Linked DNA regions of Macaca mulatta. The protein of the gene in region 4 interacts with the protein of the main gene of each other region in a pairwise test. Links are inferred from orthologs where the notes say so. Each region holds a gene or a part of one and is shown on either strand. Other genes may lie near its edges.

Region 1 (5,218 bases), on a different chromosome or scaffold from region 4:
AACAGTACAACCAGAATGAAGACCCAGCTCCTCTAAACCCTGGCCTTTGGTTTTTTGTCCAACACTCCTTCACATCACATTCTAATCGCAGAAAAAAAGCAGTTTGGAATCCACACCCAAGGTACGGTATATTCCCTCAGACATAGAGAATCCCTTGCTTCACACTCTGTGGTCACCCTTATCTAATCCTCTACATCTCTGATTTACATCAAGGGCCTCCTGAGTTTCCCACTTCCTTTCTGTCCCTCCCACAATGCGACCTTCATCCAGCAGCTAGATGTGAATCTCATTATGTCATTCCTGAGTTTAAAACTCTCCAAACAATTTCATTTCCATTGTTATTCCTAAAACCTATGAGTTTGAACCTATCATTTTTCTTTAGATCACTGTTTCATCTAGACTGTGTAGCTTCTGACATATAGTATTTCACTATAGCATTTTCTAAAACTTCAGACTGAATTTCCCCTTTAGCTTCTGACTTTTGTAATGTTTTACAAGTTTACAAACAGGTTTCTTTTCAAGTCTTCCAGGTTATTATTAATTTCTAACTTTTTGAGATAAGACTATTGCCTAGACTGCCATTATTTTTTTAAATATTCTACATCTCAATGTATTTTGTTTTCAGCCATCTTAACCGTCATAAATTAAACTCTACTGCTATTGTTTTTCTATAAAAACACATAAACCCAAACACACGTAATTAAAAGCAGAAAGCAACAGCCACAGTTTCAAGCATATTTACAAATCTACTGTACCATCAATATCATTAATTTCTTGATTAAAGTGAAATAATAGAATTGGCTTACCATTGGTTTACCATAAAATGGAAATCCTTGTAACTGTCTCAAAGCATTCGTGGATGAGCCCAGTTCCTTAAATATGACAAAGGCCTGCCCCCTCATCTTCATGGTCTTTAAAGCCACAATGTCCACCACATGACCGAATTGAGAAAACAGGGCATACAGGGATCTCTTCAATTCTGTCCAAATTAGAAAAGAAACAAGTCATTGGTAATAAGATAATGACAAAAGTCTTCATAAAATGATACTGCATTGAGTTGCCTCCCCACCATTCACTTATTTATAGTTATATATATTTAATGTTTATAAAAACATATACTATTCCCATTGGCTATATGTAATTTTATAAGTCAGATGAAACCATTATATCTATGAGTAGAAACAGACTGTACACACTGTCAATTCCTACCTATTTTTGTTTTTTAAAAGTCTTCAAATCCCTATAGGTAATGGAATAAACCATTATTTCAGGCACTAAGACGACGAGGTAAGAGGTTTTGAGGCAATACAATTTTTAAGACAGTAGTAAATAAACACATTTTAGTAGTGAACAAGTATTTTTAAAAGCACTTACCTTCCTTTTTAATTTTGTCATTCATATTGTTGATATAAATTGTATGATTTGGTCTGATATCCATGTTTGTGTTAAATTCTTCAGAAGGAGACAGTAAAAAATCTGTTATAAAAAGGAAGGAGTAAATTATACTGGACTGTGGCATAAGGACACAACACACGAATTATTAACCTTTCACTTCTCTTTCAATCCCAATTGTTAGATGATGTCAGTTTGGCTGAAGCCTTTAGTGTACCTCCAGCACCTACTAGCCCTCCTTTTCATACAAAAGGAGAAGAGTTTCTCATGCTCAAAACTTGGAGCACCAATACCTAGCCAGATTTTAGTAACATCATTTAATTCAACACATTTATTTTCACACTTACTTTTCACTTATGACAAGTGATATTTTCTTTCCACCTCCTCAATAATTTAAAATGTAGATTTGAAGAAAAATGACCAAGTAGCAAATGTACATCCAGTGAAAATCATAAGGTTAGACATTAATGGAGTTTGCCAACTACTTCTTGGGTGCACTTACAAAGTCCTTCCATACCTATTACTTAATTTGTATACAGTATCACCAAGCTGTCTGGACTCCAAGGTTACCTCTAACCGACTTGAAAGAAGGGAGCTCAATGACAACAGTGTGGCATGACCGTTAAACTCAGATTCTAGTACCAACCATATGTGAATTCAAATCCTATTTATGCTTCTTATTAGCTGTTTGCCTGAGGGAAGTTCCTTAATCTGTCAGGTCCTCATCAGTAAAATGAGAATGGTAACAGAACCTACCCAACCGAACTCAGAAGACTAAATGAGTTCTAGCACAGTTTTGCATCAACGGTAAGCACTTAAAGTAGCTATTATTAACAGCTATTACCAGTTAAGGAACGTGCCTAAGGTCACACAGCTAATAAGCATCAAGCCTGGAAATTCAGCCCTTGCTTTCTCCTCTACACTTCTCTTCCTCGTCCACCACACTATTGCATTTTTTTAACGTGGTTTTTACTTGCAAACTGTGAAGCTGCTTGATTTCCTTGTGTGCCCCACATATTTCTTTATCTCACAAATATTTACGGAGCATCCACTGTACGTGAATAGCATTGGATGATTGACAAGGGAAGAGCCTACAAGCAGGGGCTGCACTTGTGCAGGTAACAGGTAAAACATAACGCTTCTCCAAGCCTTGGGACCCCCTAAATCGAAATCTGGAGAAGCGGCAAGGGTCACAAAGGAGACGACGAAAGGGAAGTGACTGAGGCAGAGGTCAAACTGAAGGTAGGGGGACAAAGGGGAGGCTCTTGCGGGGTTTCATGCGAGGTTTGATCGTGGGCTGGACTGTTACAGGGGCACCCTGAATTACCCGCCACTACCAAAAGGAAACCGCTGGAAGACACCTGAAAGCGCAGTGAACTGTCAGCGCCTCGCACAAGCAGACGGACATTATCCTTTACTTCGTAAGCGCAAGCCTCCCGCCTCTCCAGACACAAGCACCTTCGCCCGAGGCCCCCTAACGAAGTCCGAGGGAGCTGCCACGCGATGCCCGGCCCCTGAGTCAGTCTCCCATCTCTTCCTCGCCCCCAGCCTACTCGGGTACTCCGAGATCCAAATCCGGGCCAAACGCGTCCCCACCCCAGCTTCGCGCTTCGTCCGCTCCCAGCTGCAACAGGGGAGAGAAGGGCCGAGGAGCCAGGAAAACCGAAACAGCGAGGTAAAAGGTGCACGAACCCACCTAAGGCCTACGCAGTCTCCCGTAAGAACCAAAAGCAGGAAACGGAGCCAGGCACCGGAAGTAACGTTGCCACGCTCCTCAATCGAGCGCCCACAAGTCTACAAGCCGAGCGCAGAGCAGATCGATGCTTCCTGGTCTCTGGCGGCCCGTAGGTAATCTCTTTGCGCGTGCGTATGCCCTGCGGGCAGGAGAAGAGTCCGGAAATGGAAATGGGGAAAGGGACGGGGTTTGTGGGGACAATGCTGCGAGGGAATAGGGAAGAAGAGTGAATCATTTCCCTTACCACGACCTTGCGAAGCTTTGCCCCGCGCAAGAGTGCCTTCCACCTTTACAAATCCTATGTAATTTTACAGGCTCTGCCTCTCATGCTACGGGGCAGTTAGTCCTGGTTTCGCCCTTCTTTGGGCTCTGGCTGCCCCGGTTTAAAATCACCTTTAGGATAGCCGGTTCCTCCGGCCTCCAAGTCTCCTCTGATTCCTGGGGCTCTGCAGGAACTGTCCTCCAACACTCTGCTGATGAACTTGAATCTCAGAGGCTACCCAGTTTGAGGGCCCAGGGCAAACAGAACTGGTGTCTGCCCAATTCTCATCTCTCACCAGATAAGGCAACCATGCTGAGTAGAACCCAATCATCTGTAAGATCATCTGCCTCAACTCACTCGAAAAAATAATTCCCTACCACCCTTCCCACTCTTTTCTTCCCACAAAAAGTCTAGATTTTTCTAGGGTAGTCTAACGAGTTAGTATTTATGCCAAGCTGAATGGGAATTCCCAAAAAAATTCCCATGCTTTCATTCATTCATCCATTCATCAGATGTCTGTAAAGCATCACCTGGAATATGAAATGGTTGTTAAGAGTCAAGTGGAACCTAATCTTGTACCCTCTGCTTAACTAATCTCTCTGATCTTCACTCTTTTCGTCTGTAAAATAGGGATCCTAATAGTATCTCCTTCTAGTTGTTGTAGGCATTAAATGAGCTAAAATAAATGTAAAGTGGTTGGCACATTACCAGACACAAAATAAATGCTCAAAAATGTTATTTCTGAATTCTGGCTATAACTTGGTTATATTGGTGAGGCTCAAAAATGTTATTTCTGAGTTCTGGCTATAACTTGGTTATATTGGTGAGGCAGGTAGCTGTCAAATAAGTTAGTTTTATCAGCTGGGAATTTTTATTTTTTAAAAAACACCTAAAGTTGCAACAACTTGAAAATAATATAAGCTTCTTAAGGGTGGGGATTTTGTCTGCTCTGTTCACTCAAGTACCCTTAGTAATGAGAATAGTGACTGATAATTAATATGTATTGGATAAATGAATGACTGACATGGAAAACTAGGCAACAGTAAACAAATATGCTTTGAACATGCAGATGAGTGTAGAAAATGTTAAGGGATCACAGAAAAACATCCTTTTATTATATAGATCTAATACTACAAGAAATGGCTGAGTGTAGTAGCTCACACCTGTAATCCCAGCATTTGCGGAGGCTGAGATAGGACTGGTTGAGGCCAGGAGTTTGAAATCATCCTGGGCAACACAGTGAGATCTCATCTCTGAAATAAATAAATAAATAAATAAGAAGAAATAAATGAGAAATTCCTATCTCAGTCAAAGAATTATATCTTTAACAAATTAAAAGAGAATATAAACTTAATGTAAACAATTTCTAAATAACAAAGGACAAGCTATTCTGCGTATTAGTATGAGCATCTCAACAGTTAGTTCTATTTGTTGATAATGAGGATGGCTAAACTACTGAGAATAAACTATACTCTTTATTATATAAGGGGATCTAGCCAAGAGTTGATAACTGTTAAAAGAGAATAAGATGTGATTATGCAAAGACACTCCAACCTAGAAGAAAATACCACAGGAAACACAGAGGCCTGAAGACAGACTGCATATCATGTTCTATTAACAATTAAATTACAGCTATTGTACATTACACTGTGAGAAGCAAATCATCCATTGCCAACTCAGCTGCAATGGTCTGCATGCACTTTTCCAGGTTCTTCTGAAAAGAGCCAGTGCACTGTCCTTGGGAAGTCACTCTGTGCATTCCAGTAACCCGTTAATGATTCTCAGTGGTTTCCTGAATGATCTGAGAAGCCAGTAATTGAAAACAGTGC
Region 2 (5,118 bases), on a different chromosome or scaffold from region 4:
GTGCAGTTTCCTGTGGGCCCCGGCACCCAGGGCGGCATCTGGTGTGCATCAGGGCCCATCCTTGGCACCCACATTTGAGAAAGGAGGGGCTGGTGAGGGCAGCTGGAGGAGACCAGTCTGGGGAGGAGACCAGCCTGGCAGGGGAGACCAGCCTGTGGTGGGGACCAGCCTGGTGGAGGGGACCAGCCTCGGGGGGAGACCAGCTTGTGGAGGAGACCAGCCTGGCAGGGGAGACCAGTCTTGGAGGGAGACCAGCCTTGAGGGGAGACCAGCCTGGCAGGGGAGACCAGCCTGTGGTGGGGACCAGCCTGGTGGAGGAGACCAGCCTGCGGGGAGACCAGCCTTGGGGTGAGACCAGCCTCGGGGGGGAGACCAGCCTGGAGGGGAGACCAGCCTTGGGGTGAGACCAGCCTCGGGGGGGAGACCAGCCTTGGGGTGAGACCACCCTCGGGGGGGAGACCAGCCTGTGGGGCAGACCAGCCTGGGGAGGAGACCAGCCTGGGGAGGAGACCAGCCTGGGGAGGAGACCAGCCTGGGGAGGAGACCAGTCTTGGGGGGAGACCAGCCTGGGGGGAGACCAGCCTGGGGGGAGACCAGTCTTGTGGGGAGGAGACCGGCCTGGAGGGGGAGACTGGCCTGGGGAGGAGACCGGCCTGGCAGGGAGACCACCCTGGGGAGGAGACCAGCCTGGGGCAGCCCCACCATGGGCCCCACGATTGGCCCCACATGCTGAGGGGCGCTGGGTGGCCCTGAGGGCTGGGCTGGAGGCCACCTGCTGACCTCACTCCCCAATGAGAAGGGTCCAGCAGTGCCTGTCCACCCCTCGGACCACGAGCGCCCATGTCTGAGACACCAATTGTTCCTGACTGCACTGCTCCTGCCTGCACCTAACTGAGGACGGCCCCAACCCATGGCCACGGCCTCTCGGGCCGTCACGCAGGGCTGTGGCTCACAGGGTCCTGCTAGAGTAGGCGCTGTCCTCGGTCAGTGTGACCAGCTTGAAACCCACCCTGACTCCCCGCTTCTCCAATTACTTGGGGAAGTAAATCACCTCAGTGTTGTTTCTTGGCTCCGAGAGTCTTGTTTTATCAGCAGCCGGGATGTAACAGAAGGGTCATCTCATCCTCGTGGGAAGGGACGTAGTCCAGAAAACACAACCCACTGGGCCGGCCACACCTCCAGCCCTGTGACGGGCACCCACCACCACCAACCCAGTGGGCCGGCCACACCTCCAGCCCTGTGACGGGCACCCACCACCACCAACCCACTGGGCCGGCCACACCTCCAGCCCTGTGACGGGCACCCACCACCACCAACCCAGTGGGCCGGCCACACCTCCAGCCCTGTGACGGGCACCCACCACCAACCCAGTGGGCTGGCCACACCTCCAGCCCTGTGATGGGCACTCAGGACCACCAACAACCCAGTGGGCCAACCACACCTCCAGCCCTGTGACGGGCACTCAGGACCACCAAGGGCACTCACGTGCAGACGTCCCCAAGGAGACCACCACCTTCATTCAGCCCGGGCGGCCACATTAGGGCAACGTTGCTTCCAGGAGAGAGTCTCGAGTCAGGCTTTGTGGAGAATGGAGGTTGCCATACCCCAAGCGTTCCTGACACAACCCAACCCGTCTGGCTGCACCACAGGGCTCACACCTCAGATCAAGACAACGGGGGCCCAGACACAGCCCACTGACGAGGGCATGCCCCTGCATGTCCAGGATGCAGGGCAGAGAGAGAAGTCAGGGGTGAGTCACAGATGCGCCCCCCACTCTGAGCCCGACGGGGCCCTGAATGGCTTTTCCTGCCCTGGCTCCTCCCATCATATTTTAAATGCCATCTTCTTCCCGCTCCAAGGAAGCCTTCTCCTGACATCACGTACTCTCCAGCCACGGACCTATCAACACTCTGACAGTTTTCTGATCTTGACACATTATCCTTTTAATATAGCACTGGATTCAATTTATTAATATCTTAAGTATTTTTATGCTCACAGGGGAAATCAATCTGAATCTCCCTTTCTTGTGATGTCTTGGTCTGGCTTTGGAACACTGGCCTTTTAAAATCAGCTGCAGGGGTTCCATGCCATTTTCTGGGTGTTCCTCCTTTTTTTTTTTTTTTTTTTTTTTTTTGAGACAGAGTCTCGCTCTGTCGCCCGGGCTGGAGTGCAGTGGCCGGATCTCAGCTCACTGCAAGCTCCGCCTCCCAGGTTTACGCCATTCTCCTGCCTCAGCCTCCCGAGTAGCTGGGACTACAGGTGCCGCCACCTCGCCTGGCTAGTATTTTTTTTTTTTTTTTTGTATTTTTTAGTAGAGACGGGGTTTCATCATGTTAGCCAGGATGGTCTCGATCTCCTGACCTCGTGATCCGCCCGTCTCGGCCTCCCAAAGTGCTGGGATTACAGGCTTGAGCCAACGCACCCGGCCGGGTGTTCATTCTTAAACGTCAGAATTCACCTGTGAAGCTACCTAGAACTAGATTTCTTCTGGGAAGGTTTTAAATTTCTAAATCAATTTATTAAAAGACACAACGCTACTGACAGTTTCTATTTTTCCCTCATGTGCGTTTTGCGGACAATTGTGGCTGTCAGGTAGTTTGTCCGTTTCCTGTGGTTGTGGAGCCCGGGCATCAAGCTTTACACCCCACAAATTCTAATGTCATGTTTTTATTCTCCTTCAACTTGAAATATTCTCTGGTTTCCTTTGTGCTTTTGTCTTTTTCAAGACTGTTTTTAGAGGAGTTTTAGGTTCTCAGCAACATTGAGAGGAAGGTACAGAGATTTCCCCACTCTCTGCCCCAACAAATGCACAGCCTCCCCTATTATCAACGTCCTGCACCAAAGTGGTACCTTTTTGAGACAAGGTCTCGCTCTGCTGCCCAGGCTGAAGGGCAAGTGGCATGATCACGGCTCACTGCAGCCTCAAATTCCTGGGCTCAAGAGATCCTCCTGCCTCAGCCTCCCAAGCAGCTGGGCCTACAAGTGCGCACACCCACACTCAGAATTTGTCACGGCTGATGAACCTACATGGACACATCACCACCACCCAAAGCCCACAGTTTACAGTGGGGCTCACTCTCGAGGCTGCACATTCTCTGGCTTTGGACAAATGTATGATGACCTTATCCACCGCTGGTGTCAGGCCGGAGCAGTTTCATTGCCCTAAAAATCCTCTGTTCACCCCTCCCCCGGCCCTGACCTCCAGCAACCGCTGACTTTTTACTGTTTCCACAGTTTTACCTTCGAGAGTGTGATCTAGTTGGAATCACAGTATGCAGCCTTTTCAAACTGCCTTTTCCACTTACTAATATGCACTTAAGGGTCCTCCGTGTCTCTTCATGGCTTGATAGCTCATTTCCTCTTAGTGCTGAGTAATATTCCACGGTCTGGCTGCACCGAAGTCTACTCACTCATTCACGTACGGAAGCACATTTTGGTTGCTTTCACATTTGGGTAGCTATGAATAAACAGCTATCAGCCTCTGTGTGCAGGTGCTTGTGTGGACTCCTTTGGGTAAACACCAAGCAGTGCAATTGCTGGATAGATAGCGAGAGTATGTTTAGTTTTGTCAGAAACCACCAAGCTGTCTTCCACAGCGGCTGTGCCTATTCAAGTTATCAAAAGAGAAGGAAAAAAAAGAAATTAAAAAAAATAATAATAAACAGTGGCTTCACCATTTTGCATTCCCGCCAACGGTGAGTTCCTGTTACTCCACGTCCTCACCAGCACTTGGTGGTGGCAGTGTTCTGGATTGTGGCCACTCCAATAGGTATATTGGTCGTTTTAATTTGCATTCCCCTGATGACATATGATGTGGAACATCTGTTCATATGCTTATTTAACAACTGGGTATCTTCTTTGGTATGGCGTCTGTTAAGGTCTCTGGCCCATTTTTTCACCAGGTTGTTTTATTGTTGGGTTTGAAGAGCTCTTTTGGATACTGATCCTTTGTGTTTTTCAAATATATTCTCTCAGTCTCTGACTTGTCTTTTCATTTTCTTGACATTCTTTGCAGAACAGAAACTTTAATTAATTATGTATTTTATTGAGACAGGGTCTCACTCTGTCACGTAAGTTAGAGTACAGCGGCGTAATCACAGTTCACTGCAGCCTCAACCTCCCAGGCTCAAGCAATCCTCCCACCTCAGTGTTCCAAGCAGCTGGGACAACAGGCATGCACCACCACACCTGCCTCATCTTTTGATTGTTTTGTACAGATGGGGTTTCACTATGGTACCCAGGCTGGTCTCCAACTCCTGGGTCCAAGTGACCCTCCCACCTTGGCCCCTCAAAGTGCTGGAATTACAGGCGCGAGCCAAAAATGTATCATGTTAGTGAAGCCCAACCTATCGATGTTTTCTTTAGTGGATCATGCCTTTGGTGTCATATCTAGAGTCACTGCCAAACCCAAGGTCACTTAGATTTCCTCCTACGTGATGTTCTAGGGGTTTTATAGTTTTATGTTTTACATTTAGGTCTCTGATTCATCTTGAGTGTGTCTAGATGTGAAGGGTATGTCAAGGTTCATTTTTTTTTTTTTTTACAAATGAAGTTTGGTTGTTTCAGCATCATTTGTTGAAGACTGTCCTTTCTCCATCGAACTGCCTTTGCTCCTTTGCCACTGACTTTCAATTTAGTTTGACTCCACTGTGGTGGGGAAGGATGCTCTGTATGACTTCCATCCTTGCTGACATCCTGACACTCAGCTCCTGAGCCAGCTATGGTCTACCTTAGCACATGGGCCCCAAGCTCTTGAAAAGCTGTGTGCTTCACCACTGTTAGGTGAGGTATCCTCCAAAGACCACTCGCTTGTGTTGGTTGATGTTCAAATCTCTATCCTTATAGATCTCATGTTTATCAGTTGCTAAGACAAGTACGAAAAGCTCCCATTAAAATTGTGTTTTCATCTCATTCTCTTCAATTCTGCCATTTCGCTTCATGTATTTTGAAGCTGTTACTTAGTGCATATACATTTAGGGTTGTTATGTCTTGATAAATTGATCTTATCATTATTGTCTCTTTACTTATTTCTGGTACCATTCCTTGTCCTACGGTCTATGTTGATATTAAAAACATCAAGAGTCTGAAACTTTACATCATAGCAAACAAAGAAAACCT
Region 3 (4,461 bases), on a different chromosome or scaffold from region 4:
ATGGTGGTGTCAGCTTCAGGAACGACTTTCTTTCCTCCTTCTTCTGTTTTAGAGAGTAGTGTGTACAAGATTTTTAAAAGCACAGAAGGGTTGTACAAATAAAAGGTATCAATCACTCAGGTTATTTGTTAAGAGAACACTCATTTACAGTTAAAAGCACACCCACTTGCTGTGGTACCACTGCTCCCCACATTCGTTACAAATTACATAAGTCATCATTTGTTCATCTGGGTTTGAATTCCGCACCCAGCTGGGAAGGAAAAGTGTTCCTCTGTCAATTACAGTGACTTTGCAATTGTATTTCTCACAGCGTCTGCATTTTATTTTATTTGTCTGTGTGCCATCAATTACTTGGGGAAGGTAATGTTCCTGGATACAAGATTCTGTGTAGGAGGCTCTCAACTGCTTCAGTTCCTTGTTTGCCATCTCCATGACAGTCATTTCAGCAAATTCTCGTGGAGACATGGTACCAGAGAGCAAGTTTTGTTGTAAGTGAGAATTTTTGGGGTTCTTCAAATTGGCAACTTTGCTTCTGATGCAAGTTTTATATTTTTTTATATTCTTTGAATAAAGGGTAAAAACATGCTCTTCAATTTCTCTTGCAAAGTTTTGCCACAAATCAGCTTTGGGTTGATCTGCAGAAGAACTAGTTAAAGCTGCGTAAAGAAGCTCTATGCATTTAGTTCTCATGGGTGTTATGGGATCCAGCAACTCACTCAATCTCTTACCAGTGGATTCAGGGCCACCATCCCCAAAATGCTCTTTCTTAGGTTTCAATTGAATGGCTTTATTTTCAGGCACAATCATTTCACTGAGTTTTGCAACATCTTGGGAAGATAGAGAATTTGAGCTGCAGATGCCCAGTGTCTCATCCTGACTTGGGTCATGAGAAGGTCCTGAATTTTCTTCATTACCCCTCACAGGAAATAATTTAGGGCTGTTCCTCGCTTTGGAGTGAGTCTCTTTATAAACAGCTTTCCACTTTGATAGCAAGCACTTGGCTTTGTTTTTCAAAGCCACAGAGGGGCAGTTTTTGAGGACTCTGTATACAGCTCTCACCACATCTGTCTCCTGGAGATGTTCCTTAGTCACATAAATTGTTTCTAGCTCAGTAAGGTGGTTGCCAAGATCCTCAAAATTCCTTTTGGACAACAGTTGCTCAATAAGGGAGGCTCTGGCAGCTATCTGGTTCTTGTCAGACATCTTTACAGCTGCAAAGAAAAAAGGGGTTTCAGTTTTCTTAAGTTTGCCTTTGCTAGTCGCAGCTTCTGGATACGAAAATAGCAGTTTCTGTCAGTAACCTAGGCAATGTTTTCTGAAGGAGTCATGTAATACAAATGTATGTGACATACTAGAAAACGGAGTCTTTAAGGTGGTATGGTTTACTCTCAAGAGTTTAATTCCTACTAGTGAAAAATAAACAAACAGTATTGCAGAGCCTCTACATAACATCTGCTTAAGAGGCTCGCCAGGGGATCTGCTATAGCTTTTCCATCTCCAATTTTACAAATCAATGATCTTTCTAGAGTAGTCAATCCATTTGGGTGGAATCCGGTGGTCATGCTGGAGATGAAATCATGCCAGTGTCAGCATCAATATGGCAATGCTGAACAGTGCTAGACAATTTTTCCCCAGAGTCAGCTATATAATTGAACTACTTGCTCATTTCATAATCTTTAAAGTGGTACTCTTCTGAATATAAAAGAGTAAGAAACAAGACAGAAAGGGTTTGCTAATGTCTCAAGCAATCTAAAGAAACCATGAGACAGCACAGGTTGAAAAGCAGCTAGAGCTACGTCTGCGGGTCCCAAAAGCCAACAGGCTACACTGTGCTGCCTCAGAAGTCTCCTGAACAAGGGAAAGGTTCAGACTCAATGATCCAGATGATTTATGACTTTAGACTAACTGGTTCCTACATTTTGGTTTTGTTAATTTTTTAAAAACTTTTAAGCGTAAAAAGTTGCTCAATGATTATGTCTGTGTGAATCTCATCCTAGGCAGGCAAACGTTTACTTTATCTAAGCAGTCTACCTTTTCCTCTCCACATAATGTACATAATCTTGTCTATATAATACCCTTGGATCTATATTTATCTGTCTGGTCTAGATGTGAACATAAGCATCTTGATGGCAGGGACTGTGTCTTTTCAAAAATCCATGGGCTCTGTTTTATAGCACTTGATGTTAAATAATCACCACTGAACATGCACAGGCTAAGAACACTGAAGTGTTTAGAGAGAGAATTCATGCAATCTTCCCAGACACCATCTGACAAGTGACATAAAACATAATGACCTTTTAGTAATTCAACTTCCATAAATTTACTTTAAGGAAATGAGAGATGTGGAGACTGCATATGTAAGAATTTTTTTCTAAGGAGAAATTGGAAGGACCTCAAATGGTTAAATGGAGAATGGTTAAAAATATGGCACACTCCTTAGATACAATAATATAACCATTTAAAAATCATGTATTTAGATATTTAATGACATGGAAAAATGGTCATAAAGTTAGGTGAAAAACAATCAAGATGTAAAACTATATAAAAGATTAAACAGTTATCATATGGGCTGGGCGTGGTGGCTCACGCCTGTAATCCCAGCACTTTGGGAGGCTAAGGTGGGCAGATCACGAGGTCAGGAGATTGAGAACATCCTGGCTAACATGGTGAAACCCTGTCTCTACTAAAAATACAAAAAATTAGCTGGGAGTGGTGGCAGGCACCTGTAGTCCCAGCTACTTGGGAGGTTGAAGCAGGAGAATGGCATGAACCTGGGAGGCGGAGTTTGCAGTGAGCCAAGATCATGCCACTGTACTCCAGCCTGGGCGACACAGCAAGACTCCGTCTAAAAAAATAAAATAAATAAATAAACCAGTTATCATGACCCAGCAGATCCAAGAGAAATGGAAACATATGTCCACGCAAAAACTTGTACACAAATGTTCATAACAGCATTATTCACAATAGCCAAAAATGGGAAATAATCGAAATGTCCATCAACTGATGAATGGATAAATAAAATGTGATTTATCCACACAACAGAATATTATTCTGCCATGAAAAGGAATGAAGTATTGATACAGGTTACAACATGGATGAACTTTGAAAACATTATGCTAAGCGGAAGAAGCCAGACAGAAAACACCACATATTGCATGATTTTATTTACATGAAATGTCCAAAACAGGCAAATCTATAGAGACAGAAAATAGATTAGTTGTTGACTAGGTAGGGTGGGGCAGAAGGGCAGCAGGGTGAAGAAGGAGGAGCAGCTGATAAAGTTCAGGGATTTTCTTGGGGAGTGGTGGCACAAATAAATCTTCTAAAAGTTGATTTATTTGTGGTTATGGGTTATACAACTGAGTATACTAAAAAACGCTGAATTACACACTTTAGGTGAATTGTATGATGTGTGAACTACATCTGAATAAAGGTGTTATTTAAAAATAGAATCTGATCCAAATTTTATTTAAGAATTACATGTGAAAAGACTGAAAAGAGTTACACAAAATTTTAAAGAGGGGCATTTTCTGAATGGCAAGATTTTAGGTAATTTTCATTTGTTCTTTTCCTCTTCTGTATTTTCTGTGATGAGCGTGTATTGTTTTCATAATCAGAAAAGTTATTAGTCTAATGTAATTTCATGATAAACTATATACATTTAAGATATACCTACTGAAAAATGGTATGAGCAATGAATCAATCACCTTCTACCTACTTTCCCTCTGGAATGAGAATGTACTTAACACTACTGAACTGTATACTTAAAAGGGCTTAAGACAGGCTGGCCGTGGTGGCTCACACCTGCAATCCCGGCACTTTGGGAGGCCAAGGCGAGTGGATCATGAGGTCAAGAGATCGAGTCCATCCTGGCCAACACAGTGAAATCTCATCTCTACTAAAAATACAAAAAGTTAGCTGGGCGTGGTGGGGCACGCCTGTAGTCCCAGCTACTTGGAAGGCTGCGGCAGGAGAATTGCTTGAACTCGGGAGGCGGAGGTTGCAGTAAGCTGAGATTGTGCACTGCACTCCAACCTGGTGACAGAGCAAGACTCTGTCAAAAAAAAAAGCTGGGGGGGGGGGGAGCTTAAGACAGTAAATTTTATGTTTTGTATATTTTATCACAATTAAAAATTTTTAAAGAAATATAAAGGTCAATAAAAGAACATATAAAATGAAGAGCAAAGTGCTTTGGTTGTTTATACATAAATACATTAACTTCTATAGATTTACTCATTTTGCCGGTAAGACAAATTACTGCTTTCACTCCACTGAAACCCCAAAGCTATAATTACAATTCCCTTTAAGAATCACCTTGAAACTCAGTCAGACCTTCAGTTGAGAAATTCTGAACTGAGTCAAATATTGCTTAACTTCCTTTTGGGCGCTGTAGGCCCATCTCTTATTAACCATCTTTCTCAATGCCTAGCAAACCTCCCTCCCTGATTTCTTCAATAGTAA
Region 4 (5,042 bases):
GCGCCCGGCCTAGATTTTTTTTTTTTTTTGAGACAAGAGTCTCACTCTGTTGCCCAGGCTGCAGTGCAGTGGCGCAATCTCGGCTCACTGCAACCTCTGCCTCCCAGAGTGATTCTCCTGCCTCAGCTTCCCAAGTAGCCGGAATTAAAGGCACCCACCACCACACCCGGCTAATTTTTGTATTTTTAGTAGAAAAAACTAGATGGCTCATGCCTGTAATCCCAGCACTTTGGGAAGCCGAGGCAGGTGGATCACTTGAGGTCAGGCGTTCCAGACCAACCTGACCAACGTGGTGAAACCCATCTCTACTAAAAAAATACAAAATTAGCTAGGTGTGGTGGCACATGCCTGTAATCCCAGCTACTCAGGAGGCTGAGGCAGGAGAATCACTTGAATCCGGGGGAGGCAGACGTTGCAGTGAGCTGAGATCGCTCCATTGCACTCCAGCCTGGGCAACAGAGCAAGACCCTCTCTGCCCTTAATAAAAATAAAAAATTTAAAAAATTAAAAAATAAACCAAAAAAATGTTAAGATGACAGCAAGAGGGGAAGGAAAAAAAAGGACTTGCCATTTAAATTCACATAGTATCATACAAAGCTTAAGAGTAAAATAAATGGTTTAATGACAAAGTCTTCATAAGAAAAAAGGACAGAGTTTACTTAGGCTAAAAATGTTTATACATGCCAGAAAAATGAGAAGACAACAGAATTTTTAAAATATTTTAATTTGTATATATAACTTCAAATTTAGAACACTCAGTATGAACAAGAACTATTCTCTGACAAAGATCTGAAATGGGGAAGTGAATTACTGTACAGGTGCATATCAACCTCTCCATGCAATTTACATCTGTATCTTATGCAATGAGAAACTGGTTTACACAGCTCCGTAATTGCAGTATTTTTTTAACACCCCATTTTGCAGTCTCAGAATACTTTTCAATTAAACTGATCGACATGTTTAAAGATGAGAAATATGATGTTTGCATTGTAAAGTTGAGTAATAGCTAATAAATGCACATTTCCTTCCATCAATATAAATCTGGAACTATTTATGGTAAAGAAAAATCTATCTGCGCTATCAGTAATCTAATAGTTCATACTTTTACTGAACACTTCCTGTGAGCCAGGCCCCGTAGTAAACATCTGCACATGCAATTTCACATTCAGTGTGGAATAGGAAGTGTCAGAGGTTCGTGTGTTTTTCACAACTGATTATGATGTCCATGATGACAGCGTGCACTAAGCGCTGTGTCCAACCAACCCTTTACCTGGCACTTTAGCCAGCAAGACCCACTTGCATTGTAGCAGCTCACGGTGCTCGCTTGCACAATTTTAGAATGTTACATGAATACTCAGGCCTGACTAACCTTCCCCTCCAAAAAAACAACAAAACGGAACAGGGCTAAGCCTTTACTACTCAGAGACACATCTGTAAGACCCCCACAGGGACAAGAAAACTAGCTGTGATCTAGGTCTGCACTAAAGCTGTCTTTTCTGGCACTCAGAAGTGCCCTTCCAGGCCTAACTGCAGAAGGGTGGCCTCAGCCTCCTCCTCCTCCTCCTTGGCTTCCTCCTCACGGATCTGCACCAGCAACTGAAAGAGGTTTGGGGCCGGCCCTTCCCCAGCCCCGGTAAGCCACAGCTGCCTTCGGATGGCCCCGCTGTGGTTGGCCCCAGCAATGACCTGCTCTAGGCGGGCCTGGTTCACGTTATCTTTATCAATGGCCCCCTTCTCTACCACCTTCTGTAGCAGAGGCTCCAGACGAATGACATAAGCAGACAATTTTTCTCCCGGGTTCTGATAAGTGTTCAGAAATTTGATCTGGGCATCCCTAGAGCTCTCAACGCTCCCAAACACCTGCTCAAGCGCCTTCAGGCATTCGGCAGTGGTTATCGCGGGGTTGTTGGACTTGAGGATGCGAATGACATCAGCGGCAGGGCCTCTAAGGCTCTCCATCAACCGCCGCCTCTTTTCTACATCGGACACCTGCCACTCCTCTAGGACCTCATTAGTGTGCTCCAGCCAGGGATCAAAGGTTTCCTCTCCAGGCCCTGGGATGTCCCTCCCCGAGAAAAGTGTCAGCCTCTTGTACCATATGGACTCAACAAGAGGCTGAATAACATTATCCAAAATATAGTTTAGCATCTCTGCTGGCATCTCTGGGCCCGGGGTCGGAGTAGGGTTCTGAAACCCAAGGACACGGGCAACATCTTGCACGGTCCACCCCTCTCTAGCTAGGAAGAGGTGCAATCTTTCTAAAAATTCAGCATCAGAAGTTGGGGGCTTAAACAACACTTTCCAGACCCCTCCTTTGCCCGGCATCTCCCTGGGGATCGCGGCGTAATCGACAGCGCCAGTGAGCTCTAATAAGGCTGCTTTCGCATTTTCTTCCCTCCAGAACATTCTCCCAAGCATTCGGTAGGGGACCTGGGGCATCGCTGCCTGGAGGGTCTCTTCGATTTCAGCCTCATCACAGTTCACTGGGATGCCCCAGACCAACAGAGCTCTCTGGGAGTTCACATCCATCCCCCGGCACCAGTCTTCCAACAGTGTCATCGCCATTTTCTCAACTATCAAGACGCCAATTCTACCAACAGACTGTGGCTCACCGTACTCCTGGCCTTAGAACAATACCAGACACTCCCACCAAGTAGGCCCAAGGGAGGTAGGCTTCATGCATTCACGACTAACAAAGACACAGAGTCCTGATCTCGCCCTTCTCTGCCCCCCCAGTCAGTCCGTAGGTACACTTGGAGCTGAGCTCGGGGACGCTGAGGAAGTCACGCGGCCGTCGCCATCTTGCGTCTGGGTCCGGGTCCGGTCGGGTCTGCCGCTTGCAGCCGGGCTGTCGCGTCGTCGTGCAGCGGGCAAGGAGCGAGGGCGGGCGGCGAAGGCAGGCGCGCTGGGTCGAAAGCAGCCGGGGTGTGGTCGCGGGGCGTGCCCGCCGGGCGCTCGCTGCGGCTCCTGGAGAGGATCGGGCGTTCGCGGTCGCAGCCTGGTCTTCCCGCGGGCGAGGAGCGGCCGTTTGGGAGACTAGCCAGAGGGAGAGACTGTGCCGAAGTCGCGGCGGCTGCGGGCCAGCGGAGAGCGGCTTCTTGGAGGGCGTGGGGACTCCTCTTGGCGGGCGCGGGGACTCCTCTGGGCGGGCGGCGAGGACGGCCGAGGACCAGAAACGAAGGCAGCAGAGGAGCAGGAAAGCCGGAGAAGCGAGGCTGGAAACAGCACAGGCAAGGGTGGGCAGCGGCGGCCGCGGCGGCCTGCAGCGGCTCAGGCGCTGCGCGGCTGCCCCAGCGTCGAGTCCTACCCGCAACCCGCTGCGACGTTACTGCTGCAGTGGAGGATGGGGCCAGCCCGCGAGCGGCGTCAGCCCCGCCCCGTCCCGCCCCTGTGGCGGAGCCGCTCGGGCGTCGCCATGGCAACGGCGCCCCAGCTGGCGCGAATCACGCCTGCTCCGGCGGCCCGCGGGGGTCGAGCGGTTGCCATGGTGCCAGCGAGGGGCTCGGGCATTTGTTTCTCTGATGGCGCATTTCCTTTTTCATAATTTTCCATTTTAACAGCAAACAAATACTGCTAAGCACCGTGTTTTAAAAATAATAACCCAATCCTGGAGTGGATTTAAGATGATACTATTGGAAGTCATGGCATCCCTCATGGTGGACTTGTCTACTCGGGTTGCCCAGCCAGTCCACCCTGCACGTGAAAATACTCTCCTCAGAACCCTGGCTTCCCGTTACCCCTGACCACACTGTGCACCCTGCGTATTTTATCCCAATGAAGCCGGAGTGCGCCATTTTTTGTGTGAGATACTGAGTTTAGACTTTTTCTTGTCTAAACTTTTGTAAACATCTGTTTGTCTGTGTCTACTGAGTCATCTTTTAGCCAGGCAAACATTAGTGTTATTTTCCTTTTCCTGGCTGGCATCGACAATAGGCTGCTAAAAGAGAATCCTTATGGCTCAAAAATGTCGAGTAATCTCCCTGCAAGCAAGACAAGGCCCACTTACATCAACCCCAGATGGTGAAAATCCCGAGAGAACATAGCATTCAACTCTGAATTTTTAAAACCTTATTTAATAAAAGGTTTAAAGATACAGAAGAACATTCAAAAGTAAATAAGTTACATAGGTACATTACAATCACATCAGCAAGATTCTTTAGTGTATTAATTTTTTCTTATAAAAAGCACACAAAAAATAAAATCTTCAGTCTCTATCACAACTGTACAGCAAAAGAGGTAATATTTATATGTATGTACACTATTTTAATATGTAACAGTCTTTTTCAAAAAGGGTGCCACAGGCAGCAAACACACAAAAGGCAGTGTCTGATCATTTTTGTTTCAAAATAAAAGGAATATACTTATTTATATGCTATTAAAATATTTGTACAATAATTACAGACTGTCAAGGCTGTTCCTGTGCTCTGTCCCCTCCAACAAGGCCTTCAACTTAGAGACAAATGAGGAAAAAGTGAAACAGCTGCAAATTGTTAGAGGCAAATATTAACATAGCAAAATGTGGGGAGGACACAATTGTTTTATAAAAATATCCCTACTTCCTGTAAACCTATGGAGTTAGGCTTGCCAGTCTGATAATAAATACCGTCCCAGAAAAGCGAGCCCCAGTGAAAACAACTAAACAGCTGAGGCTTGAGCATGTGTTGTATTCCTCCTTCATCTTAACATCTGGCACATGAGAAGAAAGAGGTTAGGTCACTGAGGCAGTTAAATATAGGCGATCCCTTTAGACATAAGCAGCAAAAGACCTTGGTGCCAGGAGTGGAAGGGGGCGCGGCAGAAGGGGTGGTATGTACCTTAGCTGTGAGGGGGGCTGCTGAAGGCATGGAGGACAGTAATGATGGCTCTGCCTCCTTGGATGGGTGGAGACCTCAGAAATGGTCTGCAGCACAGGCACTAGGTCAGTTTCCCGCCCTTAGCTGAATGCAGATGGATGCTGGGAGATGGATATGGTGAGATGGTGTGGGGAGGATGTTAAGAAAGCTGGAGGTGTTTATCACTTCTCAGAGCTCTGAATATAGGGA
Region 5 (4,461 bases), on a different chromosome or scaffold from region 4:
TTCTGTGCCAGTCCCTCTCCAGGACAGTGGTCTGGTGCACACTGGGTGTAAATTCCTTCCCCCCCCCCAGTTGGGGCACTGAAGACCCTAAGCATTCGTGGTGGGTAGAAGGCTGGAAGTCATTTCTCCTCCCCTAAGCGGGTTGAGAACCCCATCCTCACACAAACAACGATCTCATCTCCACAACCTTCCACTCCTTTGGCCCCTCACTCCCACTAACCGTCCTGAGTTCTGGGAAGGCACCCCCGCCCCCCAACTCCACTTCTCCCCTGGACTCCCAGTGCCCTGACTTCTCCTTCTGGCCAGAAGCCAAAGCTGGCTCCCAAGGGGCTGTGGCCATGGTCTGGTTCCCAGCGCCGCAGCCACCACTGTGGGAAAACACTGGAGCTGGGCTGTTCCCTCCCACAGGCAGGCAGGCAGGGACCACAAAAGTGGTGGCCGCCCTGGGACTGTGGGGGAGGTCCTGTCCAGCCTCCCTCCACCCAGAGAGCTTTCCCTCTCGGTACCCAGAAGGGCTTTAGCCCAAACATCTTAGCCCCATCACAGAAATCGTTTCATTTTCTCCATTTTATTTGTCAATATAAAAATACTCAAATATTTACAACAAATAAATACGCGGGGACACAATAAGTTACACCGTTGGGAGCCCCCCTCCTAGGGCTGGAAGAGAGTATGCCATTATCCACAGCAGTCCCACCCTCTCTCCCCTCACACAGCCTTTCCCAGCCCTGTACAGGAAGAAGGCAAATATAAAATACCACTGAACCCCAGGGCCAAGTGGGAGGCCCCACCCACCCTTCCCCCAAAACACACAGGAGGCTCCATCTCCCTCCCCCCACCCTGAAAACATTCACAGCCCTAGGAGCAGGACTAGGCCCACCCCGAGCCCTGCACTCCCCCTGAAGGGGCACAGCACCCTGCCCACCCCACCCCCATATGTACATCGCTGCCCGACATTCGGGACAGTGGGGGTAGGAGAGGCAAAGTGATACGACCCCTTCCCCTTCATAGCTCCAATGACTCACCAGGAGGACCCAGGCCAAGGGAAGACTTGACAGAAACAGGAAGGCTATACCACAAGCGCGCACGCACGTGCACACACACACACAGACACACAAACACACGTGCAAATACGGACAAACACCCATCTTGACATTTCTGCCTTGAAAAGTTTTGGCGGCTGGGGTCCCGCGTGTCTGTGATTCACAGAGAGGAAGATGCCTCCTGCGAGGCTGGTGCCCTGGTGAGCCACACCAAGTGGCAGTGCCCGTGCTGAGCAGAGCAGGTCCTCATGGCCGGGTGGGTGCTGGGCAGTATCCGTCCCAGACAGAGCAGGTGCCCATGCCATGTCCCTGAGGTAGCTGGTGCCTGTGCAAAAGTAGGAGCTACACCTCCCACGCTTCCCGCCGACGCGGTGGGGGTTTCCCCTCATACTGATGACTCCTCGGGGTTGGAGTCGGGCAGTGGCTGGCGTTGCTGCAGTTTGCGTCTCAGTTCATCCGCAAGCTCAGGCAGGGGGTGCCCGAGCCCTCCCCGGTCCTCCCCTCCTAGTTGTAAGCGCACGTAACCATTGGCATTTGAGTTCCGCCCACCCCCCAAGTGAAGCCGAGTTGGAGAAGGCAGAGGCTGGCCTGGGATGCCTGGAGGTGGTGAAGGGGGGCCCCCGCCGGGCTGGCACCGGGCATGCCCAGGTACTATCTTAAGGGAGCCATCTGAATAGTAGTAACCGACAGGATCCCAAAGTTTCTCATCTGGTTCAGGACAGGGCCGGAAGGGGGGACTGGTGGGCTCCTTGGGCAGCTCCAGGGGGTACACCAGGGTCCTCTCAGTAGCCTTGGCCCCTTTCTCCAGCTCTTCCCGCAGCCGCCGGCGCAGTGACAGCACCAGCAGCAGCAGCACCAGGCACACGGCCCCCAGGGCCACCACCGCCAGCCACACCAGCCCCAGGTTTTCCAGGGGGGCCCGGGCCTCCAAGGTCACCGACGGGCCTGCCACGACAGCCACAAGGTAGCCTTCAGCAGCTAGCCGCGCCCCCTGCTCCTCTGAAAAGCAGTGGTAGGCCCCAGCGTGGCGGGGCTGGGCGGCCATCACAACTAGGGCCTGGAGCCGGGCATCGTAGAGGAAAGAGCCGGGCTGTTCCGCAGGCAGGTCCCGGCCCCCAAAGGTCCAGCGGGCATGGGCCAAGTTGGAGGAGAGGTGGCAGGGCAGCACCAGGTCTGTGCCCGCCACCACCGTGATGTTTTTGGGAGTGGCCCTGACTGTAGTGGCAGAGAAAAAGAGAGTGCATGTTAGTACAGGAAAGCGGGGCTAGGGAAGAGGAGAACAGAAACTCCAGCTCTGGTCCGGGCTCAGCCCGATGCGAGGGGAATGAAAAAGCTCACCTTTCTTACTGCCTCGGAGGTTGCAGATGCCTGAAGTGTCCGAGATCATCACGTGCTGGATCAGCAGAGATCTGGTAGGGGATGGAGGGTACATCAGCAGCCTGGCTCCAACCACCCTGAGTCCCTGCTGGTCCTGGTCTATGTAGAGCCCAACTCACCCAGAGTGGCCACCCACGGCCACACAGCGGCTGGTGTTGACGCTCCAGGCACAATAGGGGTCCCGGGCGAGGACACAGTCTGCACAGGAGCGGTACTTCATGCAGTCGGCCAGGGGCAGCTGCACCAGCTGAGAGCGGGAGCCGGCAAAGAGCAGCTTCTGCGAGAGAAGCGGGGCGCAGAAGGGGGGTCAGCCAGGGCCACACCGTGGGAGGGGCGGCCGGACCAGAACGCAGCACGGGGACAGCTTGGACTTCTGCAGGGGGCACAGGACGGGGCACCAGAAGGAGGAACAAGGGAACGAGGCAGAGCTGTAGTGCTGAAAAGGGAACTCTAAGAACTGCAGAACGCAAAGGGCTTACGCAGGCCAGATGCAATCCTAAGCCCCTTAGAGACGTGACCTTATTAGAAAGAGATGTGGGGCTGTGAGGCCAAAAAGTATAATCATACACACTCACACACATTAGTGCGGGAAATACATTTCTCTCAAGGCCCATCAGCCCTCACGACAGCAGCAGCATAACATAAGATGTTTTCCTGTTTCAACAGTGGATGCCAATCTGTGGGTTTCTTCAACCACACACTTTCTTTCTGCCATTATTCCATGTTCTGGGGGACAATTTTGAGTCACAATAGGTGGTAAAAGGCAAACAAATCAAAGTTCAGGAGGTGTAGTAAACATGCCACAAGAGTATTGCACAAGGCAACTGGGCACAGCAGGTCATGCCTGGAATCCAAGCACTTTGGGAGGCTGAGGTGGGCAAATCTCCAACTTGAGGTTAGGAGTTCAAGACCAGTCTGGCCAACATGGTAAAACCTTGTCTCTACTAAAGATACAAAAATGAGCCGGGCATGGTGGCATGTGCCTGTAGTCCCAGTTACTTGGGAGGCTGAGGCAGAATTGCTTGAACCTGGGAGGTGGAGGTTGCAATCAGCTGAGATCACGCCACTGCACTCCAGCCTGGGCGACAGAGTGAGACTCCATCTCAACAACAACAACAAAAAAAAACCTTTAGCTGGGCGTGGTGGCAGGCACCTGTAATCAATCCCAGCTACTCAGGAGGCTGAGGCAGGAGAATAGCTTCAACCTGGGAGGTGGAGGTTGCAGTGCACTGAGATCGCATCACTGCACTTCAGCCTGGGTGACAGAGTGAGACTCCGACTCAAAAGAAACCAAAAGGAGTATTGCACAAGGATATAATGCAAGCACTTCAGGGAAACAGTCACGGACATGGAGGGCGGGGACCAGAGAGCAGCTGGGGGCTGGAAGGAAACCACCATGGTGAAGGCGTCATAAACATCTCACAGGCTGGGAGGTCTGGTCACAGGGGCATGGTCAGGGAAGAGGCCAGAGCCAGGACCACAGCACAGCTTGGAGGGTCTGAAGGAAACATGGGAGTAGTTACCAAGGCTTGATGCTGGGAGTGCGGCCTCGTGACCTGGCTGTATATAATGGCCCCGTGCAGCGCAGATTCCATTCTGTTTTCATTCTCGTTTCCAGGAACCCACCCCAGGTTAGGCAAGGTGTGCGTCCATGCGTGTGTGTGTTCCTAACTCTGCACTGGCCAAGCATGTAGGCCCAACTGGGAGAAGCAGCCAGACAGACAGAGCGAGAAGGACAGTGCTGGGGACGGTGGCAGATAGGGCCCAACTCACTACCTTGCTCTGAGCCAGCACCAGGCTTCCCATGGGCTCCTGGTCAAACAGCTGCAGCTCTTCAATCAGGTGAACCCAGGGCCCCAGGCTCACGGCCTTGAGCAGCCAGCCATCTCCTGAGGGGTGCAGACGGGAAGGTGTAAATGACAGGGCACAGGGCTGTGGGGCAGCTCCAAATCTCCCTGCCCTGGGCACATGGGCTTCTGCCCAGCCTCGAGCAGCCATGCCTGCATACCCATGCACCCACCTGTGCCAATGAACAGCACTG
Region 6 (4,461 bases), on a different chromosome or scaffold from region 4:
TTATTCTTCTAAAACAATTAGTTACTCGTTCTAACACAACACTCCCCAGGGTGATTTCTGGTCCACCTCTTTCGTGTTGGCATCATATGCAACTTTGAAGTAGCACACACAGAGTTCAGGAGATCTCTGAAGTATGGATATCAAAAATTGCTCCAGCTTTTATCTTAGCTCTTGCCTCACTATTGAAATATTTGTCATCTACTAATTCATAACTTTCTCATTTTCATTTTATTATAAACTAACTAGAATATAATTTTCCTGAACTTACACATGAATAGCTTTACATATTTCATCAGCAGTCTTTCCAGCTTTCCTTAAAGTTATGGCAAGATTTTTGGCCCTGTTTGCTTCTAGTAATGTCACTTTGTTTGATCCCTTCTGTGGTATCTTCTGTTTGCTTGAAGAAAGATCAATGGCAGGACCTTGGGCTTTTGTCTTGAATATTTCCTCAAATTCATCCACATTTAAATCCTAAGGTAGAGAGGAATGACCATGGAAAATTGGATTATATTTAAAAATGAAGTCTGGAAGCCACCAGTTAGTTTCTTAAGCAAAGACATTACTTTTTCTATTAAGTACTTGTCTTTGGCCATGGCTTGCTCTATTTTTCTTGTTTTTGTTAGAGTACAAATTCTGGCACATACACAAAAGTGAACATAGGCTGGGTGTGGCGGCTCATGCCTGTAATCCTAGCACTTTGGGAGGCCAAGGGTGGATCACTTAAGGTCAGGAGTTTGAGACCAGCCTGGCCAACATGGTAAAAGCCGCTCTCTACTAAAAATACGAAGAATAGCCAGGCGTGGTAGTGTATGCCTGTAATCTCAGCTACTTGTGAGGCTAATCAGAGAACTGCTTGAACCTGGGAGGCAGAGGTTGCAGTGAGCCGAGATTGCACCACTGCACTACAGCCTGGGTGACAGAGCGAGACTCCGTCTCAAATAATAATAATAATAATAATTAAAAAATAAAATAAAATAAAAATAAAAAAGTGAACATTAGACTACCGATTCTAACCCACCAATTCAATTGCTTTTCAATAATTAGCTTGCATAGACAGCTGCCACAGATTAAAATTATCTATCAAATAAGGCAGTGAGTGTGGTAATTGAGTTCTTATTCACTTACAGTCTGAAAGTTTTTATGTCTTTCTCTCAATTAAGGGAAGGAATTATTATGTCAGATCTATATTCTGTGGCATACACTGAAAATGCTCAAAAGCATTTATTCCAATTTAACATAACTCTTTAAACACAGTTTTAGAGCCACCTTACAAAATAGTGTCAAATGTTTTTCTCCGATATTACATATCTGTTTCTTCTTTACATCAAGGGACTTATAACACTAGTACTTTATCTCTGACACTTCCAGGTTAACAAAACACCCATGTTGGCTTTGCTGCACAGAGTGCACCTCTAGTTTCTAACCAATGAGAAAAATACCTCCAGAATTCGCTCATCATCAATTTCATTGAAGACTGTGCCATTGATCTGATTGGGCTTCAGAGCAACCCAGTTAAACACTGGCATTCGGAACTTTGTCTTGATTGGCTTCTTAATTTTCACAGCTAAAGACATCAAAGAGAATGGAATTAAGATCCCACCAAAAGCCTACGACCCTCAGAAACAATCAGACAACAGTCCTTGCAGATGACACTTTAACACTGGAGGAAGGTTGGCAAGAGGCGCGCAAGTAGGTGTTTAAAGCTGGTAAACAACACACATGGCTTCGGCCAGAGCCAGTTGAGGTCATCATTTGATTGTATTAAAAGCCGTCTAAGGGCCAAGGGTTGATTTTTTTTTTTTTTTAACTCAGGCAACTAATTTGCTGCATTACAGTTACAATATTAGGACGATGGTTGGGACAAATAAAAAGTGTTGGAGAGCAAAGATTATTACTCATGTTATTAGATAGCAAAGAGGGCAAAAACTTGCCATATTTGGACATCCTAAATTCTTGGTTGTGGACCACATATTTACAAACAAACCTTAGAAGATGATCAGGGAGTGCAGATAGTGGCTGACTAGACTACCAGGAGTATAACGTCATGAAGGCTGACTTTCCACCAGGGCAAGACCTTCCCGTGGGTGATTCTGATATATTGGCTGCTGAGTTATTTTAAGCAGACTAAGGGCTATGAAAGGCCTAATGAGAAAATAGGTTTTTGAGGTCTTGCTCTGTCACCCAGGCTGCAGTGCAGTGGCGCAATCATGGCTCACTGCAGCCTTGACCTCCCAGGCTCAGGCAATCCATCCACCTCAGCCTCCAAGTAGCTGGAACCACAGGTGTGTGCCACCATGCCTGGCTAATTTTTATATTTTTTATAGAGACAGAGTTTCACATGTTGCCCAGGCTGGTCTCAAACGCCTGGACTCAAGCGAGCTGCCCCACTCGGCCTCCCAGAGTGCTGGGATTACAGGATTAAGCCATCTTGCCCAGCCTAAGAAAACATTTAAGACGACAGAACAAAAAAAGGGGTAAATACAGAGCAAGACTCTGTCTTAAAAATAAATAAATAAAAGGGGGGAAAAAAAGGAAAATAAATTGCAGGGCATGGTGGCTCAAAGTCTTAGCACTTTGGGAGGCCAAGGCAGGTGGATCACCTGAGGTCAGGAGTTCAGGACCAGCCTGGCCAACATGGTAAAACCCCCATCTCTACTAAAAATACAAAAATTAGCCAATTGTGGTGGTGTGCACCTGTAATCCCAGCTACTCGGAAAGCTGAGGCAGGAGAATCACTTGAACCCGGGAGGCAGAGGTTGCAGTGTGCCGAGATCATGCCATTGCACTTCAGCCTGGGCAACAAGAGTGAAACTCCATCTCAAAAAAAAAAAAAAAAGAAAGACAGAATGAGAGAGAGAGAAAGAAAAGAGAGAGAGAGAGAGAGAGAGAAAGAAAAAGAGAAAGACAGAAAAAAGAAAGAGAAAGAAAGAAAAAGGAAAGAAAGAAAGAAAGAAAGAAAGAAAGAAAGAAAGAAAGAAAGAAAGAAAGAAAGAAAGGAAAAGAAATCTAGAAAGAAAGCAATCTAGAAATTGTATTGATTCTCAGATTCAGAAATGGCCACAGTCCCTTGCCCTTCTTTTTGAAAAGCAAGTTATTCCCAGGAGTCACCTGTGTTTGACTAGGAGGTATTGATACACTCATTAAAAATACTGAAAATCTCTTAATAGAGAAAATGGGATGTATCTTTAAGGGACTATGGGGAGTGCCAACTCCTCTCACTGTGAGGAAATATGCCAAAAAAGGTAATCCATTTAAAATTATATTTATCTGTTATATATCATAAAGAAGTCTTCCCAAACCATTTAGCCATATCCATTCAGCTTCATCAGTCTGTCCTGGGTAGCCCATCACACTACTTGGGAGCTTCACTATTTGTCATTATTAGCAAGACAGGCAGGAGAACTTCAGTGCTTCAGTGCAGAACAAAATAAAAGCAACACACGACTAAGCTTGTAGCTGGCTGCCTGCCTGCTTGCCTGCCTCAGTTGGCGTTAACTGACACAGACGGTGCCTCTCATTCCTCCAGAGTTACAAAGGCCATTTAAACAGCAGGAATGTCATCTGATAAATCCACACAAAAGCATGCAGAAAAACAGACACAGCTTTAGCCAAACCAGGCCTCTCCACCACCAAACGTGACACCTTTGTCCCCACTACCCCAGTGTCAGATTCCTCACCATACAGCATTTTGTCTCCACTACCCAGGAAAACAGATGTTCTCAACGGGACAAAGGAACAGACTTTCCTCTAGCACTTGCTCTTGCATTGCCTCTGGCACTTCGGTAATGTCGGGGATCGGGGAGCAGCGGAAGGGCTGCAGAGGAGTCTTTTCATAACCTGAGGTGACAGGCTGGTGCCAATGGCTTCCTACCTTCCTCCCACGGACATGGTAGGCTCATGACGCTCGCTAGAGGTTTGCCATCTGCAACCACTCTTCTAACTGTTTAGCAAGGTCAGGAGTAAGCCTGAGATCAGAACACAGGCAAGAAAGTTCTCCTCCTTGGAAAGGTTTACCTGGCTTTAACCAGGGTGGGAGTGAAGAGAAGGAAGGCACACAGGTGACCACTGGACACACTGTGTCCCCACGGTTTGGGCCAAAGGCGGGTGAGTGCTCCCTGGAGTGGGCCAGAGACTAGCATGAGGGAGGGAATGGAAAAGGGGCACCTGGCACCTTTTCTTTTGTTCTTTTCTCCCTAGAGTAGATCTAAAATCCTTTTAGAGTTGAAGCCTCAGATACAAATATAAAAATTAAAAGAAGAAGGAAAAAAAAAAACTTTCCTCAGAGGGAATGGAAGAGGGCATGTGAATCCAGGATGTCTTCTTCAAGGACAATAATCTCTTGTGTAGGTTCAACTAGAATGTGTGGGCAAACCTGGAATCATCATCAGCCGCCACCAACACTTCCCGCAGACACAAAGTCAAAATGCAATGGATCAAAGCAAAATGGAGTGGAAAGATGTC

The links.
Region 1: the proteins of PNMA1 (region 4) and SNRPB2 interact in binary tests that used the Homo sapiens proteins (3 or more experiments, as listed by UniProt). The two-hybrid records come from large-scale screens. The link is inferred for Macaca mulatta from reciprocal best matches to the Homo sapiens genes PNMA1 and SNRPB2.
Region 2: the proteins of PNMA1 (region 4) and SPATC1L interact in binary tests that used the Homo sapiens proteins (3 or more experiments, as listed by UniProt). The two-hybrid records come from large-scale screens. The link is inferred for Macaca mulatta from reciprocal best matches to the Homo sapiens genes PNMA1 and SPATC1L.
Region 3: the proteins of PNMA1 (region 4) and TCEANC interact in binary tests that used the Homo sapiens proteins (3 or more experiments, as listed by UniProt). The two-hybrid records come from large-scale screens. The link is inferred for Macaca mulatta from reciprocal best matches to the Homo sapiens genes PNMA1 and TCEANC.
Region 5: the proteins of PNMA1 (region 4) and SEMA4C interact in binary tests that used the Homo sapiens proteins (3 or more experiments, as listed by UniProt). The two-hybrid records come from large-scale screens. The link is inferred for Macaca mulatta from reciprocal best matches to the Homo sapiens genes PNMA1 and SEMA4C.
Region 6: the proteins of PNMA1 (region 4) and FMNL2 interact in a two-hybrid assay, tested with the Homo sapiens proteins (2 studies listed by BioGRID). The two-hybrid records come from large-scale screens. The link is inferred for Macaca mulatta from reciprocal best matches to the Homo sapiens genes PNMA1 and FMNL2.

The regions. Positions count from the first base shown.
Region 1 is NC_133415.1:67,266,006-67,271,223, forward strand, and holds the start of SNRPB2 (U2 small nuclear ribonucleoprotein B''), read right to left. Parts: upstream 3,186-5,218; 5' UTR 3,089-3,185; exon of another isoform or gene 2,754-3,088; intron 1,477-2,753; 5' UTR 1,439-1,476; coding exon 1,375-1,438; intron 980-1,374; coding exon 807-979; intron 1-806. UniProt on the Homo sapiens protein: Involved in pre-mRNA splicing as component of the spliceosome. Associated with sn-RNP U2, where it contributes to the binding of stem loop IV of U2 snRNA.
Region 2 is NC_133408.1:1,395,315-1,400,432, reverse strand, and holds the start of SPATC1L (speriolin-like protein), read right to left. Parts: upstream 3,518-5,118; 5' UTR 3,306-3,517; intron 2,977-3,305; 5' UTR 2,851-2,976; intron 1,552-2,850; 5' UTR 1,486-1,551; intron 1,185-1,485; 5' UTR 1,052-1,184; intron 1-1,051.
Region 3 is NC_133426.1:13,307,017-13,311,477, reverse strand, and holds part of TCEANC (transcription elongation factor A N-terminal and central domain-containing protein), read right to left. Parts: intron 2,846-4,461; coding exon 2,772-2,845; intron 1,212-2,771; coding exon 151-1,211; 3' UTR 1-150.
Region 4 is NC_133412.1:146,883,075-146,888,116, forward strand, and holds PNMA1 (paraneoplastic antigen Ma1), read right to left. Parts: upstream 3,369-5,042; 5' UTR 2,566-3,368; coding exon 1,504-2,565; 3' UTR 698-1,503; downstream 1-697.
Region 5 is NC_133418.1:5,528,219-5,532,679, forward strand, and holds the end of SEMA4C (semaphorin-4C precursor), read right to left. Parts: coding exon 4,441-4,461; intron 4,310-4,440; coding exon 4,197-4,309; intron 2,698-4,196; coding exon 2,540-2,697; intron 2,453-2,539; coding exon 2,382-2,452; intron 2,259-2,381; coding exon 1,429-2,258; 3' UTR 887-1,428; downstream 1-886.
Region 6 is NC_133417.1:57,534,292-57,538,752, reverse strand, and holds part of FMNL2 (formin-like protein 2), read right to left. Parts: intron 1,565-4,461; coding exon 1,440-1,564; intron 472-1,439; coding exon 269-471; intron 1-268. UniProt on the Homo sapiens protein: Plays a role in the regulation of cell morphology and cytoskeletal organization. Required in the cortical actin filament dynamics.